Linked DNA regions of Ovis aries. The protein of the gene in region 2 interacts with the protein of the main gene of each other region in a pairwise test. Links are inferred from orthologs where the notes say so. Each region holds a gene or a part of one and is shown on either strand. Other genes may lie near its edges.

Region 1 (4,260 bases), on a different chromosome or scaffold from region 2:
TAGCCTCCTTCTGCACACAGACTCAATCCTGGACCATTTCTAACAATCCTGGGTCCCCTCTTCTAAATTCCAGCTACAAACATCCAAATTGCAATCAACATCTCCACTTGGATGCCTGATAAGCTTCCAGATCCTACCATAGCCAAAAGATTTTCTGCTCTCCACTTCCAAGCCACAAACACCCTCTCCGCTACTCCTCTCCAATACTTTCCCCTTCAGGTAAATGACAACTTCCCAGAAGCACAGGCCAAAGTTTCTGAAGTCATCTCTGACTCCGCTGTCTCTCTTATATCCTGTATCCAATCCCTTGGCAAATTCAGTTTCATCCTCAATACATATCTAAAGTCTGTCTTCTTACGACCACCTGTTCTACTCCCCTACCTGCTGATCCAAGCTAGTGACTGGTTTACTTTGAAAGCTTCCTAACTGAGCTCTCTGCTCTGCCCCCAACCCCACTCGGGTGATTCTCAGTAGAGCACCCAGGACTACCTCTGAAGAAACCTCTCAGACCCACCAGCAGCTCCCACCTCCCTTGAAATAAAAGCCGACGTCCTTACTCTACTATCAGAGGCCCTACCCGACAGGGCCTAGAATTCTCTCTTAACCTCTTTTCTATCTATCCTTTCCCCATGTTGTTCTTTGAAGATGCCCTTTTTCTTCTCTCCCTCACTTCTTTCTGATGTCCCTTCAAGTATCACAGCAGTGCTGAGTCGCTCAGTTGTGTCCGACTCTTTGAGACCCCATGGACTGTGGCCCGCCAGGCTCCTCTGTCCATGGGGATTCTCCAGGCAAGAACCCCAGAGTGGGTTGCCACTACCTCCTCCAACATAGTAGTGAGGCCATCTCTAATAACCCTACTACAGTTTCACCCCTGACCACCCCCATACTCAATATTTTCTTTCTCTGCCTTATTTTCCCCCACAGTTTAATAAACTTACTAGATAAAATATAAGATGCCCAGTTAAATTTGAATTTCAGATAAACAACGAATAATTTTTAGCATAAGTGTATCCCAAATATTGCATGGGATACACTTATACTAAAAAAAAAGTTTATTTTTTACCTGAAATTCAAATTTAAATGAGCCTTTTATTTTTGTTTGACAAATACGGCAACCCCACCATATAACATGCTATTTTACATTTATTGTTTTTGTCCTCCACTCCCCTTCCCCCAAACTTGGCCCTTAGAATATAAAGCAAGGGCTTTTCATCTATTTTGTTCACTGCTGGATCCCCAGAAGCTAAAACAGTGACTCCCACAGAACAGAGGCTTGATATTTAGTGAATAAATGAAATAAAGTGATCACATTGCATCAGTCTCACCATCTCAGTCTCTGAAGTGTCTCTGAACTGCTGTGGTTGTTTGTAAATTGTTTTCTTAAATCAGTTCCACTCTCTTGTTGCGCCTGCAGATTCCGAGTATTTCGTAATGCAGCAGAAGCCCAGAGGTTGAATTCCTGCTGCAGGACCCTGTCTATCAAAGAGGGCAGGGGAGGGGGCCCCACTGCCCGGGGGCCCCCAAGGAGAGTGTGGTGCTTTGACAGCACAAACACAGCCAGCAAGCGGAGGACTCTGAGTCTGGGATTCTCCAGGGTTCACTGGTCTTAAAGTTTCCTGCTTTTCACCGGGGGGAATTTCTATCTCTTCTAATTGTATTTTCTTCTGTCTGGCTTAGTTTTGCATTTTCAGTGTGGATGAGTCATGTGTGACTTCCCTTTTGCCTTTTAAAAAACACACACCTTTTCCCCTGTGCATTGTTGTTACTCCCACGCACAGCACTGCAGCCCCGCAAGCAGGGCTATTAACTGGCCCCTGGATGAACCTGGGCTAAAGTGGGGGCAGGGAGGGTTCTGGACTGCGCCGGGTCCAAACCCGCCGCCTTCGCGATAGTGCATGCAAGGTAGGCTCCGGAGTCACAGACGTCAGACACTGGACGGCCCAGCCGAGGAGCCCTTTCCCCACCCAACCACACTGCATAATTTCTTTGGAACGACATAAGCTTCTGGAAGTTCCCTACGGAAAAGACAAGTCTATTATAAACACAATCAAAGAGAAACTGCTCAGAGAAAATCTATCAGAACTGTCTTAACAGCTCCCAACTTTTGAATTCAAGCATACAGAAAATTCGCACAGCTCCATCTCTCCTCTACATGGACAAGTGCTCCCCTGCTGTTCCGATCCGGAAAAAAAAAGAAAAAGGAAAAAAAAAAGAAAACTCTGCGATTTAACTCTCAAATACGACCAAACTTGCCTCCGACGTGCCTGTGCCTCGTGGAATCCCCCCAACCAATGAATGGAAGTGTTGCCGTCCCGAGAGACCTTTCCAGAAAGAGCTGCTCTCTCCCGCGGCTGGAGCAGGGAGTATGGAAAGCTGCTTTGGGGATGTATTTGCCACTGCCTGGAGATCTAGCAAGTATTGACGGCTTACAGGGCTACCAGTGTAACACCACCCCGCCACTTCTTTGGCAGCTTAAGAAAATCCTGCCAGAGATTTAAAAAAAAAAAAAAAAGTCCAGCCTACAGCTCTCCACTGAGTTGGGAAAACGCACCACCCCAAGAAATACGCCTTTTCTGTGCCAGGCGCTCGGTCTGCAGTTATAAAAAGCAGCAGCCAGCCGCGAGGCACACGCGGAACCGTAACTCCATCTTTGAATGAGAGCCTCTTACTTACCCGGCATCTGTCTGCTGTCTGCTGAGTAAGGAAGGCATGGCTCACATTTCTGGCTTTCGTTTTCTTCCATTGTCCCTGCCTCCGGCCCAGGCTCCTCTCTGGTCTTTAAACTTCAGGGCGCCGTTCTGAAAAAACGCTTCCAGAAAGCGCCTGGAAGGGGGCCCGGGGGGTGGGGAGGAGGGGACGGTGCGAAACCCCACCCCAAACTACTCTCCACTCCCGTGCAAAGTCTCTCTCGCCGGGGAAGACTGCATTCCAGCGCCCGGCCTCCCGCGTCCCTCCGCGCGCGCGCGTCCCCTGGTCCGTCCGTCTGTCCGCCCGCCGGGTCCCTGAGGAATGCGGGCTGGGCCCCCCGCCCGCCCCCGCGCCGCGCGCTTCCCCGAGGCCCCAACAGGTGATGCGCTGTCCTGCCCTGGACCCACGCGGGCCCCCCGAGGCAAACTGCGGCGACTCCGCAGCCGGGGAAGGAAAACATGGCCCAGGATCGCCGGCGGGAGCCTTTGCTGGAAGCCGGTTCTCCGTCTCTTTCATCTCACAGAATCAGCCTCCCCAATAGGCTGATATCCTGAAAAAAGGAACAGCCGACTGCGGAACGTCCCAAATTTCAGTGAAATCCCTTTTATAAAGGGCAACGAGGACAGGTTATATGCTGAAGGTTCTTACACACTTTCTTCACCAAGCGTTTAGAGCTTGATTAACAGACAGATACAGCTGACTTTGCACACAATCAATTTCAGTCTCTTCAGCTGGACTTTGCGAAGTTTGCACTCCTTTGCCTACACTTTCTCAACAGTTCCTCCTCCCCAACATACATAAACACACTCACATGTTGATCAAAATCTGAAAAGTAAACTAGTAAAATCCACCTTCTGAATCTCTCCAGTTCATTAAAATATCAGAAAGGCACTTCAAATACTTTTCTTTGGATGGGCAGAGTTGCATCCAGCATACTCATTTTCCCTTGAAACTACCTACAAACATTTATTTTGTTCTTTACAGGGTCCTTGAAACACTGGCCGATTTCCCAGAAAGTGAAAAGAGGAGGCACAGCGTCCACAAAAATTAAAAAAAAATTAAAAAAAAAAAAAACAAGGTACATAATCTGTGCAATGTACATGCTGCTATTTCAGATATAGGCAAATCACACACTGCCTAGAAAGAGGGTGATCTTTTAATCTGTAGGAGCCCCATCGTTTGGTGGGGGGAAGGAGGATGGTTAGCCTGCTGACGATAACTCAACCCAGTTTACATACCATTCAGACAAGGTTTTACATTAATTTAGATGAAGATTGTGTGCAGAACAATGACTGGCCTACCCTCCAGATTCTGACCTTGAGTCACCTGTGTACTTTGGCAGTGTGGGGGACATATTTTGGCCATTTCAGAGAAAAAAGATTTGGAAGCCTATGAAGGACAAGGTCATCATGCCAGGAAGTCACATCAGGTCATCGTGCAAGGTCATCACATCAGGAAGGGAAGAAGAGACCCCCTCAACTCCTAAAAGGATTTTTCTTGAAACCCGAGAAGATGTGGTGGATCTTCCAGAAAGTTAAAGCCAAGCCCAGTAGCACTGAAGGCAGGCAGTTG
Region 2 (4,201 bases):
CAAGGTTCCCAAGCAGTGACGGATAGAGCTGGGCTTGAACCTGGCTTTGAGGGGTTCCAGAGCGCTGTCTGCTTCACGATGCCGCAGCTCTGGGCCAGGAAATCTCCTCCTGGTGCTCCAGCTTGATCTGGCCCTCCAGCTTGATCTGGCCCACTTCCCCACCCCTGGCTATCTCTAAACCCCAGAGCCAAGGCCAGAGGGCCCGGCCACGCTTCCAGTGGCACTGCCCACAGGTCTCTGTGCACACAAGGCCCCCGAGCTGGTGGCAGACCAGAGGGCTCTCCTGAGCGCTGGACTCCCCTTTCCGGCTTCCGCAGCTTGCTCTTTGAGGTGGTGCTTTGACCTTCTAGATCTCAGAGGGGCCTTCCAGTCCGTGTGCCAGGCTTCCCCATCCCCGCCCTCCTGGCAGTGCTCAGGCACGTACGGCCCTCTGGGTTGAGCCCCTCCCCAGCCCCGCAGCGCTTCACAGGACAAATGGTTAATCTGGGCCCGCTGTGCAGCAACATGCCTCTCGCTGGTGAAGGCAGGGGCTTTCTGGAACTTGCTCCCATCTTATCTACAGAGGTTTGCCCCAACTCGTCCCAGGAGCAAGTAAAGGTTCAGTGACATGTAGTTGGCAGGTGGTGGGATTATCAATCAGCCCCTTGTCAGCCCTGAGCTGGCTGGCTTTTGTGGGAATGCCAGGGCAGTGGGACAGGGGGCCGGGGGGAGCTGGAGAAGTAGGAGGGGTCTGTAGATGGGGGAGGAGAGGAGGTGAAGGGTGGAGGAGAAGAGTCCATTTGTAGGGTCAGGGAAGTGACAGATGCTGGCCCCCTCTGGTCACCTCAGCTGGTACCAGACTCAGGCTCCCTCTCCCGTCCTCAGTTTATGCCCATGGCCCCTACCTTCTTCCATGCACCTTGCCCACCAATCCCCAGAGCCTGGCAGGCTTAGACACAGGATCTGTGAAAGGGACCACATGCAGCAGCCCTGCGAAGTGAACTCCCAAACTGCGAGCCAGGAGCCAGCTGCCTGGGGGTGAGGGTCCCGGGCTGGAAGCAGCAGGGAAGTCCAGGTGAGGGAGGAGTTGGCCTGAGCCACTAACAGGGCAGGCGGAGGCCTGGCAGACGTGATGCAAGGTTCCTACCTTCCGTGTTTTCTCTTGGAGTGTAGAGATGAACCTGTAATCCAAGTGTTAAAATCATGGCCTGGGGCAAAACACCATTCTGAATCATCTCCTTTGTTGCATTTAAAAGAAAAAAAAAAGGAAGGAAAGAAAAACCCCACACCAGCCACGCTGAGGTGTGTAGGCAGCTGTGTTTGTCAGGAACGCAGAAGGAGTTGGCTCCCCTTTGGGGGAGGAGACGCAATCCCACACCCCCTCGGGAGGGATATATAAGGAGCCCCGGGGCTGGGGGTGGCAGGCGCAGCCCTCAGGTTTCAGCCCAGCCCGCGCCTCCTGCCAGCTTCTCTCGTGCTGCTGAGAGCTCAGCACTGCTGCTTGCCCATGGCCACCACGCTTTTGCAGACTTCTTCCTCCACGTTTGGGGGTAGCTCTACACGAGGGGGTTCCCTTCTGGCTGGGGGCGGAGGCTTTGGTGGGGGGAGTCTCTATGGGGGTGGTGGGAGCCGCACTATCTCAGCGTCTTCTGCCAGGTTTGTCTCCTCGGGGTCAGCAGGGGGCTATGGGGGTGGCTTTGGTGGAGGGGCCGGTAGTGGTTATGGGGGTGGCTTCGGAGGTGGCTTTGGTGGGGGTTTTGGCAGTGGCTTTGGTGACTTCGGTGGTGGAGATGGCGGCCTCCTCTCCGGCAACGAGAAGATCACCATGCAGAATCTCAATGACCGCTTGGCCTCCTACCTGGAGAAGGTGCGCGCCCTGGAGGAGGCCAACGCCGACCTGGAGGTGAAGATCCGAGACTGGTACCAGAGACAGAGCCCGACCAGCCCGGAGCGTGACTACAGCCCCTACTTCAAGACCACTGATGAACTCCGCGACAAGGTAAGGCCTCTGGTTTTAGGGAGAGGGGAGCAGGTAGCTGGTACCAGCTGCCCCGGGGGAAATCCTTTTCTGCCCAGGCAATGATGTGTAACCTTGGCAAGTGGGGGAATGCATTCCAGATGTGGATGGGGGCACACTTTGCTCAGCCTGGCAGTGCTGGGGATCCTGTGAATCTGGTCTGGACCAGTAGGGGCCGAGATGAGAGCAGTGCTCACACCTGTGGGGCTCTGTCTAGAGCGTTCCTTTGCTTCTTTTGCAAGAATAAGGGTGCAGAGATGAAACTCTGGTCCTAGGAGTCCTGAACGCCAGGACCGCTTGCCTCACCCTCTGAATGTCTTGGGTGGCAAAAGCCTTAGGAGACCTGGGACTGCGCATGGACTCTGCCAGCTCTTCACTCACCCTTCACTCACTTGCACCAGTTTCCGCAGCTGCCCTCCAGGTTCCCACTGACTGGAATGTTCTATAGATGCAAGGCTGTGTTAAGGTGTGCAGGAGGCCAGCGACCATGAGTTGTCCACACGGGAGGCTGGTGGAGCACCCCAAGAGGTCACCCTGCTCCTGGCCAGGCAGTTCCCACGGGGCATTCCCTGCCACCCTCCTTGGTCTTTCCTGTCTCAGAGACCAGGAGGGTGGCATGGGATGGCTGGATTCTGTCTGGGGACCCTACAGCCTACTGTTGCTGGTATCCAAGGGAAGATGGTCAGTGAGGGGTCCCATGTGAGGTGCACGGCAGGGGGAGCAGCAGGGAAGAGGGAGGGGCCCTCTTGACACCAGCTCCCTTTATCCTGCAGATCCTGGCGGCTGCCATCGACAACTCTCGGGTCATTCTGGAGATTGACAATGCCAGGCTGGCTGCGGACGACTTCAGACTCAAGTACGCTCCTTCCGCATTGTCCCCCAGCTCAAGTGGTCCAGACCCCTTAACCCTCCTTACTTGGGTTTCCTCTTCCTTTCCAGGTATGAGAATGAGATGGCCCTGCGCCAGAGCGTGGAGGCTGACATCAACGGCCTGCGCAGGGTGCTGGACGAGCTGACCCTGACCAAGACCGACCTGGAGATGCAGATCGAGAGCCTGAACGAGGAGCTGGCCTACCTGAAGAAGAACCACGAGGAGGTGAGGATCAGGCAGCGGGTGGGGCTGGTGGGAGGCAAAGTGGGGCCACTGGGGACTCTTCTTAGTTGGCTGAAGGGCTGAGTGGTTTTGATATGCACCCGCCAACACAGAGGTCCCCATGGAGGGAAGGATCACTGGTGACCCAGACTCCTTATCTTCTCTGATACATCGCCAGGCCAGGTGGCCGGTGGGTGCTTCTGTCCTGATCTGTTTCATGAGCTCATAGAAGGGCCCTACTGTCTGAGGTCCTCCCTTGGCAGGACCAGAGACTAGAGAGGAGGAGAGACCCTCAGAGCTGAGAGGCCTGTGCGATCAAACCTTTTCATGTGGCATGGGCCAGGGTGGGTGTGGGGCAGAACTGAGGTCATGTGGTGCATTAGTGATTAGTGCTGGAGCCAGGATTGGCACGTGGGACCCCAGACTTAGCTCTGGCTACCGCCCTCTGTCTCTGAATGCCTACCCTCCCTCCCCTGAAGGAGATGAAGGAGTTCAGCAACCAGCTGGCTGGCCAGGTCAACGTGGAGATGGATGCAGCACCAGGCGTGGACCTGACCCGCGTGCTGTCAGAAATGAGGGAGCAGTACGAGGCCATGGCGGAGAAGAACCGCCGGGATGCCGAGGCCTGGTTCTTTAGCAAGGTGGGTCTGACTGGTGGGCCTCTCCTCAGCTTCCTGAGCCCCTGGGAGGCCCATGGAGCTCACTTCTCTTGTGTGTGACCTATAGACGGAGGAGCTGAATAAGGAGGTGGCCTCCAACACAGAGATGATCCAGACCAGCAAGTCGGAGATCACAGACCTGAGACGCACGATACAGGGGCTGGAGATCGAGCTGCAGTCCCAGCTCAGCATGGTCTGGCTCCCTGCTATGCCCCTCTTCCTCCTGCCAAGCCTCCCCCTCCCCACCTCTGCCATCCTTCATGGCTGCTTTAAGCATTGGTGTTCCCAAGCTCCCTCCGGGGGAGGTTCCATGCATTCCATTTGGCCTGTCTCCCCAAGCCCTCGATGGCTGGCTAGCCTGATGCAGTGTCTCTGGTCTGCTGCCCACTAGAAAGCCGGGCTGGAGAGCACGCTGGCAGAGACGGAGTGCCGCTATGCCGCACAGCTGCAGCA
Region 3 (4,281 bases), on a different chromosome or scaffold from region 2:
ATGGTGGTTCCCCCGACAGCTGCCCAGGCTGATTGCTCTCCATACTGGGAGTGGTATCTGTTGGTAAGCACAGCCAGGGTTGATGTAGTTAACCCAGTTACAGGCATATGGTAAGGCTATCCCCACACTGGTACCTACTGATTACAGTTTCTAACACAGAATGAATGTACTTCCACAAAGCATTGATATTGCAATTAGTTGGGTAGAAACTGTGAGAAGCATTTCCAAATTAAGTCATACTTTTAGCATATGTTTGATTTTGGTCTTTAATTTCCAATAGTATCTCCTGTTATTGACATTAACAGATTAATTCAAGGTATTATTTTTCATGGTCATATCTGTCATTTTGCTTAGAATAGCCAATTTGTGTTATCATTCTCATCTATAATTCTACATAGATTTACAGTAATTAGAAATACATTAATTTAATGTTTAATCTACATTTAATGTCTAAATTTAAATTGATACTTTTCTCCTAAAGTTAAAACATTGAGTATAAGAGCCACTGACCTTACTAAAATCACTCATAACAGTAACAGTCTAAACTCTATTTTAGTGCATATTAATTAGTATGAGCCCATTGTGTGTTAGTCACTCAGTCGTGTCTGACTCTTTGTAGTCCAATGGACTGTAGCCCACCAGGCTCCTCTGTCCATGGAATTCTCCAGGCAAAAATACTGGAGTGGGTTGCCATTTCCTTCTCCGGGGATCTTTTAGACCCAGGTATTGAACCCAGCCGCACTGGGGGCAGATTCTTTACCATCTGAGCTACCAGGGAAACCCATGAGCCCATTAATATAGATCAATTATTATACTGGATACAGGAAACACTTGCTTTTCTGGTATTTTCCTTTTCCCAGATGAGCGACATGTACTAATTAATCAGAAAAAAACACTTTTTTGAGGTTCAAACCAGCATCAATTTTGAAATAAGACTACATGAGGAAAGATGTGAACGTGTATGGAAACATGGTGATATAATGACAATTCCTTGAATTTCTATATCATTTTGTTCCAATGAGGGCTTCCCTGGTGGCTCAGTTGGTAAAGAATCTACCATCCCATGGACTGAGAAGCCTGGCAGGCTACAGTCCATGGGATTACAAAGAGTCAGATGCAACTGAGCAAACATTCTGTCTTTCTGTCTTTTGTTCCAATATAAAAACAGACTTTCTTTTAGGGGTAAAAAACACCCCAATATAGTATGACTTTCTCATCTCAGTCAAGAAGCTCTAGGATAACAATAATTTTTAAGAAGTAGAAATGTCTTAAAAGCAGGGAGGGAATGAACCAGGGGAATAATCCATGTATAATGTAATAATCCCAAGTAATCCCTTTGGAAATAGGGAGTGAGGGATGGGCTGAATCAGGCTTTCTAGGGTGGCTGGCTATCACCATTTCTAGAGCTGCAATATGTTTGGCTTCTGCCTTTAAGTTATGGTACATTTTACTTGTGAATAATAATTAATGGTGGTGCTGCTAATTGGCAGCATGAAATTATGACAGGGTCCTAATAATCCACAGGTTTTGCTGTTGTGTTGGCATGAAAGTGAAAAAAACACACTGCTCCATGCACTATACAGCTTCCTCCTCCCCTTCTCAGGACAGGTGAAGTCAAATGTTCGAATGCAACAAGAACAGAAAATTCAGTGTCCAGACATTACCACCCACCTGCGGCCCTCACCAAGTACTCACTAACTTTGAAGGAAGAACTGTTTTCTCTCATTTATTTTAATTTACCATCTTTCTTATCAAATGATGCAGTAAACAGCTTCATTGTCTTCGTCACTGGAATTCTTTATCCTGACCCCTGCTTGTTGGGTGCACTCATCTATATATAACTTATGCCTCCCCTGAACTTGGAGAAAGATCCATGGCACCTGCTGTCCAGCCAGTAGTTATTTTAAGCTCTTCTAAAAGAAGCCCTGGCCTTTAACACCTCATCTTTAGAACTAAAAGGAAGAGAATACCTTTTAAATCAAATTGAAAACAGTAAACATTGATTGGTTTAAACCTGTATGTGAGTTTTAAAGTGTTAGGGGGCCTTCTGAGGATGAAATAAACTCTAAAGTAAACCAGACTTCAAAGCAATGAGTTTAAAACCAGCTGTCCATAGGAGTTTTAGTGTGGTTAGTTTGAATACAAATGTTTTGCTTGTATTTGATTTATTCTTCATTCATCAGAGGCCATAATCATTGATTTTTTTATATTAAGTGCATGATCTCCTTTAAACTCATGCTCCACATTTACTTTAAAACACAATAACTGAGTCATTGTAAACCACAGGACAACTCAGTTCCTAAAAGTAGCCTCAATAAGTCCCCAAGAGGACAAAAACGAAAAAAAATAAAAAACTCTTGTTATTTGTAAATTGTCTCTTTCTTTATCAGTTAGTTTTACAGCAAGAACTTATTTCTAAGTTTTATCTTCTACAAACTTTATTGCCCATCTTTTGCCTCCTCTGAGAGAGAATTTTATTTTTCACTTGTCCTGGCAGTCCCATTAGATGACCACACTCACACACACATCCCTTCCTGAGCAACACATTTTACTTATAAATAAAACAATGGAAAGTTCTTCAGCAGTTCACTGGCAGTCTCAAAGTTGCAAGTTTCGAACACCACAAACCGCACCCTACATCTCACAGGGCTGGGGGAGTGTTTGTCATACTTACCAGAATGCAAGGTGCTAAGCAGAAAGAGAAAGGAGAGGCAAGAGGCAGCAAAAGCTAGTCAGAGCAGCAGCAGCAGCAGGAGACTGGCGGGCAGCTGCGCTCTTACAGGGGAGAGAGAAACCAAACGCACACGTACACACGCATGCAGCGGGAGAGCAGAGCAGGGGTGGCGGGGGGATGGGGGAGAAAGAACATCCTGTGACACAGCAAGAGAGAAATACACGAGGCTTCAGTAGCTGTCTCCTGGGCAAATGTCCTAGGAAAAAGAAGCGGCTGATAGATCTTAGCAGACTCCTAGTATTGTCCTTTAAAAAGTTTAAACTCTCTGTACACATGCCCCTTGCTAGTGCAGTTTTTCACTATGGTTGTTCTTTGGGGCAGAGATCAAGTTTTCTTATTTCTTGGTTTATTTCCAGTGTGGCCTGTGATTCATCTCCCTCCCCACCCCCCCATATGCTAGCTTAATTAGTGTCAAGTTTCTACTAGGAATCAAGGAAAAAGAGGAACAATGGCATATCAGAAAGAGGTAGGAGAAGCACTTTAATTCTGATGTCATTCCTTGGTTTCATTGTAAAATTTGAATATAAATTTAGATGGCTCTTTTGGCAGTGGGTTTAGTGCCATCTTCATGTACATGCTAATTGGTGTGACCTCCGACCTCGTGTCTTACTCAGGTAACTGCCTTTATTCAAATAAGCCCCAGGGAAGCAGTTGCTTTTTCTTCTTTAGTTGCAGATTTTCCAAGTCTTTCCTCCCTTCTCAAATCCTGAACCTGTTCCTTAATCCTCAGAAAAAGAACTTCCTCTTCATTGACCATATAACGGTTCTTTTTCTTAACCTACGTTCGTGCCCCTTTTCTCCTGTTTCTGGAGAATGTGTTCCCATACTTTTCCAAATCGGATTCCTCCATCAGAGCTTCTCCTCTTGAGACTGGCTGGCATACTGATACCCACTGTGTTAGGCAGGATCTTGCCGCCAGAAAGGCTTCCACACCCTAATCTCAGGAACATGTGAATATGCTGCTTTACGTGGTGAAGAAGACTTTGCAGATGTGATCCACTTAAGGATCTTGAGATAGTTTATCCACAATTACTGGATGGTTCCCATGTAATCACAAGGGTCCTTAAAAATGAAAGAGGGTCAGGTCAGAAAAGTAGACTTGGTGATCTAAGCAGAGGTCAGAGTGATGGAGGGACACAAGCCAAGGAATGTGAGGAGTCTTGAGAGGCTGGGAAAGACAAGGAAGCAGATTCTTTTCACAGTCCTGCAGAAGGGATGCAATTCTGCTGACACCTGGCTTCAGCCCAGTGAAACTCATTTTGGATTTCTGACCTTCAGAACTATAAAAGAAGAAATTTGTGTTGTTTATAAGCCACTAGGTTTGTGGTAACTTGTTTATGGCGGCAAAAGGAGACTAAAATATCCTACTCCCAAACTTTCTCACCCCTTTCTCTGAGTTCAGGGGAGGCATAGATTAGGTATAGATGGGTACCTAGTAAGTGGGGGTCAGGATAAAGAAATCCCAGAGAGGAAGACAATGATGCTGTTTACTGTATCATTTGATAATAAAATTGATGAATTAAAATGAGTGAGAGGAAAAAAGTACT
Region 4 (3,980 bases), about 27 Mb from region 2:
CGCTCAGTCGTGTCCGCCTCTTTGTGACCCCCATGGACTGCAGCCCACCGGGCTCCTCTGTCCATGGGATTTTCCAGGCAAGAATACTGGAGTGGGTTGCCATCTTCTTCTCCAGGAGCTCTTCCTGACCCAGGGATTGAACCTGCATCTCCTGTGTCTCTTTACCCACTGAGCCATCAGGGAAGTAGATGGATAAATGAAGAGAAGATAAATGAAATAATGTACCTAGAGTAACAGTGCCTGCTTCCTGATGAGCACTCAGAGAAGGCCCATCCATTCCTCGCTGCACAGAGCGGTCCTGAACCTCTCTGATCTCCTCTGCAGTGACCTATGGTGGCTGCCATCCTGCCAGTTTACCACCTGACCACTCTCTCTGTATACGCTGGCTTTATAAACTCCCAAAGGCCAGGCCTGCTTCCTGCTAATCACCCCCTCCTTAGCTGCTGGCACACATGCTCACACCTCTCTCGTGTCCACCTGCTCTTCTCTACCCAGTGGACCCCAGGCTCCTTAAATGCAGGGGCCTCACCCATGCCCATCTCCGGTACCCATGCTTGACACTGGCTACTGCCTGATGAACGACAGGCCTGAACCCTCAACCCAGGGAAAGCAAGCACTGGGTTGTGTGAACCCTGCCAAGACAGCGTGTTTTGGAAACAGCGAGGGCCAAGCCGATCCAAAGACCTTTGTGGTGGCAGAGTTCTTTATCAAATTCCGCACAAACAGGCCAGGGAAGAGGTCAGCCTCCCTTGGCCAGAAGCCGCCTGTTTTCTTCCAACTCTTTCTCTCTCCAAACACTGCAGAAGGAAACTACTCTCACCCCTTTCTGCTGCAGCGTACAAGGAGTGAACCAAGTTCAGGAACAAGTACCCCAGGGCTGGAGCCCCACCACTGCCCCTAGTTCCTCTTGTGCTAAACTCAAGTGGGGTTAATAATCACCAACTCACAGGATCACGAAGAGATTATACAACCTATTGTATAACCTTGCTGTTGTTCAGTTGTCCAGTTGTGTCCAACTCTTTGCGACCCCATGGACTGCAGCATGCCAGGCCTTCCTGTCCTTCATCGTCTCCGGAAGTTTGCCCAAGTTCATGTTCATTCCATTGGTGATGTCATCCCAGCATCTCATCCTCTGATGCCCTCTTTTCCTTCTGCCCTCAACCTTTCCCAGAATCAGGGACTTTTCCAATGAGTCAAGTGTTTGCATCAGATGACCAAAATACAGGACTTTCAGCTTCAGCATCGGTCCCTCCAATGAGTATTCAGGGTTAATTTCCCTTAAGATTGACTGGTTTGATCTCCTTGCTGTCCAAGGGACTTTCAGGAGTCTTCTCCAAGCACCACAGTTTGAAGGCATCAGTTCTTCAGTGTTCCACTGTATAATCTACTACAAGTCAATGGCTGGTACTTAACCTAGTCCTGCCACACTCTCTTGCCCCATCCATCCTTAAGTGGACAGGGAGGTAGGGCCAGAGAAGAGTTGCTCTGATTTGCTGAATAATAATGAAATACTGACATCTTGTGTTTCAGTGGTTCTCAACCAGTGTAGATTTTGCCCCCAACCCACCCAGGGATCACAGCTGGAGATATTTTTGACTATCAGACAAGGGGAGAAGGGAGGTGCTACTGGCATCTAGCAGGCAGAGGCCAGGGAAGCTGCCAAATGACCTACTAAACACGCAGGACAGGTTCCCCCTACCCCAATAATTCTGCATCCCCCAAAGTTACGAGTTATGAGAAACGTTCTTACAGGGTAAGAGAACTTAGAAGTCCTGACCATCCTCAGCACTGTCTGAAAGGGCCTGCTGGCTCCAGACTCCAGCATCGAAAGCCCAGCAAGAGGAAGTCAGGTCGCCCTGCTTCTGACTGTCCCGCACGTACACACACAAACCTTCCAATGCCGGTGGACAGGATGGCCGTGGTGGTTTTCAGTTCCTCGTAGAGATCAGCGCCATTGAAAGGGAAAGCTGAGAACTGAGCCAGCAGCACTCGCCTCAAGGCGACCAGGGCCTGCGGAAGGGGCGGGGCAGCTCAGGATCCGGGCTGCAGCAGCCCCAAAGAGTTCTTAGGCAACGACCCGTCAAAGGAAGGGGCCGCCCAGGGTCTCAAACGCCGCCGTTATCAATCCTTAGGAACCCCTCTGCTCGGGGATGGGCATTTAGAGACACCCAGGTGTGGAGCGTGGAGATGATCAGCTCACCTTGTAAGACAGGCCACATTTCTGGGCGACCTCCTCCAGGTCTGCAGAAACCAGCTCCACCACTGAAAACGAAACACGTGGGGTTGATGGGCAGGGAGGGAGGCCCGGGGCGTCCGCACTCGACTTTCCCGCGCCCGCGCGTACTGGCGGAACCGTGGGACCCGGCGCGGTGGCGGGCACACGGTGGGGGGTTCTACCCTCCCAGGGGCGTGGCTCGCCCCCGCCCGCGTTTCCGGGCTCCCCGGGGGCGCAGGAGGGAGGAGAAGGGCCCCTCCGGGTGTGCCGGGGCCAGCCCTGTGGCTCGCAATGGCGCGCGCCCGCGGTCACCTGTCTTGATCCCGCCGCTTTTCAAGAGCTGGACCATGTCCTGGGTGAGGCCCGGGCACAGTCCCGCCCGGAGCACGCCCATGTTCCCTGGGGGCCTAGGGCCGCTCGTCCTAGGGGCATCCGTGGGGCCCTCTCCAGTCGTCCCCACCCCGCCCCCGGCGCCCCTTTCTGGACGGGCGAGGAATGCGGGAGGCAGCGACCGCGCGGAGAAGGCGGACCCTTCGGGAGCTCGGGCACCCAGGGCCAGCCCGCCCCGGCCACGCCGCCGCTTCCGGCTTCCAGGCGCCAGGACCCGGCCTGCGGCGCCACCTGCCGGCCGCGGCGCGGACGCGCGGGCCGGGCGGTCGGGGCGGAGACAGCTCGGGCTGCGCGAAGCCGGGCTCCCAGCGCAGAGGTCGACGCGCCCGGCTCGGAGGGTCGCGGCCCGCGTGCGCCTCCGCCTTCTCCTGGGCCACGCCCCCCGGTGCAGCTTTCGGTTCTGAACGCTGGGCCAGGACGTTCTATCGGATCGACCATCCCTACGCCCAGGGACCTACCTGTTAGCGAAAGAAGGCAGTAAAGAGCAAATCAAATAAATCAGATAATTACCGAGATTATGATGGCTGCTAAAACGCAGGAGAGCACAGAGAGGGTATCTGCTTCTCTAGTTTCCAAACAAAAGAATTTTTACGTATACAACGATAAAACCCCTGAGTGTATAGAAAACACACACACATACGAATTTTAAATGTCCTTGGCTGGACCTCATCCTCTGGAAGAAACAACTTTACAAGGTTGGCTCCGCACAGTCTAGTGAGGTGGTGGTGGTGGTGGTTTAGTCGCTAAGTCGGGTCTGACTCTTGCGACCCCATGAACTGGCGAGCCGGCCAGGCTCTTCTGTCCATGGGATTCTCCAGGCAAGAATACTGGAGTGGGTTGCCGTTTCCTTCTCCATCTAGTGAGGTAGGTGCTATGTTTATCCCTGTTTTACAGATGAGCAAAATGAGGCTCGGAGGTGAAGTCATTTGTCAAAGGCTTCACAGCCTAGGAAGCTGTGGGCAGAGCTGGACTGAAGAGCTCACGAATCCCCACCCAGGTGCAAAGCCATTGCTGTTTTAACAGCTGCCGGGTTCCTCACCCCACAAAGTTATGTGTATGTTTTCCTCCCCGTGACATGGTTTCCCTGAGAACAGAAACAACCTCTGGCCGATTTCTGTATGCCTCTGCACCACCCACTGTGGTCACTCAGTACCTGAAGACACTTGAAGTGGAGGTCAGACAATTTAGAATTCCAGCAGTAAAACCTGGGTGTGTGGGCGCTCTAAACCCCATGAGCCATCCCAGCTTTCCCGGTGCCCACACAGCTGGACACGGGGTTTGCTGCCTCCGATGTCTGGATATGAAGTCTCAGAATTCTATCGTCAAGGTGTCCCACTCCCAGGGACCCAGTCCGTCCAGTACTGCCTGCCTCCCT

The links.
Region 1: the proteins of KRT15 (region 2) and KIAA1217 interact in binary tests that used the Homo sapiens proteins (3 or more experiments, as listed by UniProt). The two-hybrid records come from large-scale screens. The link is inferred for Ovis aries from reciprocal best matches to the Homo sapiens genes KRT15 and KIAA1217.
Region 3: the proteins of KRT15 (region 2) and TXLNB interact in binary tests that used the Homo sapiens proteins (3 or more experiments, as listed by UniProt). The two-hybrid records come from large-scale screens. The link is inferred for Ovis aries from reciprocal best matches to the Homo sapiens genes KRT15 and TXLNB.
Region 4: the proteins of KRT15 (region 2) and RAD51D interact in binary tests that used the Homo sapiens proteins (3 or more experiments, as listed by UniProt). The two-hybrid records come from large-scale screens. The link is inferred for Ovis aries from reciprocal best matches to the Homo sapiens genes KRT15 and RAD51D.

The regions. Positions count from the first base shown.
Region 1 is NC_056066.1:24,438,339-24,442,598, reverse strand, and holds the start of KIAA1217 (sickle tail protein homolog), read right to left. Parts: upstream 2,801-4,260; 5' UTR 2,744-2,800; coding exon 2,674-2,743; intron 1-2,673. UniProt on the Homo sapiens protein: Required for normal development of intervertebral disks.
Region 2 is NC_056064.1:41,464,258-41,468,458, reverse strand, and holds the start of KRT15 (keratin, type I cytoskeletal 15), read left to right. Parts: upstream 1-1,401; 5' UTR 1,402-1,486; coding exon 1,487-1,978; intron 1,979-2,769; coding exon 2,770-2,852; intron 2,853-2,935; coding exon 2,936-3,092; intron 3,093-3,568; coding exon 3,569-3,730; intron 3,731-3,815; coding exon 3,816-3,941; intron 3,942-4,139; coding exon 4,140-4,201.
Region 3 is NC_056061.1:64,247,329-64,251,609, forward strand, and holds the start of TXLNB (beta-taxilin), read right to left. Parts: upstream 2,801-4,281; 5' UTR 2,675-2,800; intron 58-2,674; 5' UTR 44-57; coding exon 1-43. UniProt on the Homo sapiens protein: Promotes motor nerve regeneration. May be involved in intracellular vesicle traffic.
Region 4 is NC_056064.1:14,695,704-14,699,683, reverse strand, and holds the start of RAD51D (DNA repair protein RAD51 homolog 4), read right to left. Parts: upstream 2,801-3,980; 5' UTR 2,610-2,800; coding exon 2,528-2,609; intron 2,263-2,527; coding exon 2,201-2,262; intron 2,011-2,200; coding exon 1,892-2,010; intron 1-1,891. UniProt on the Homo sapiens protein: Involved in the homologous recombination repair (HRR) pathway of double-stranded DNA breaks arising during DNA replication or induced by DNA-damaging agents. Bind to single-stranded DNA (ssDNA) and has DNA-dependent ATPase activity.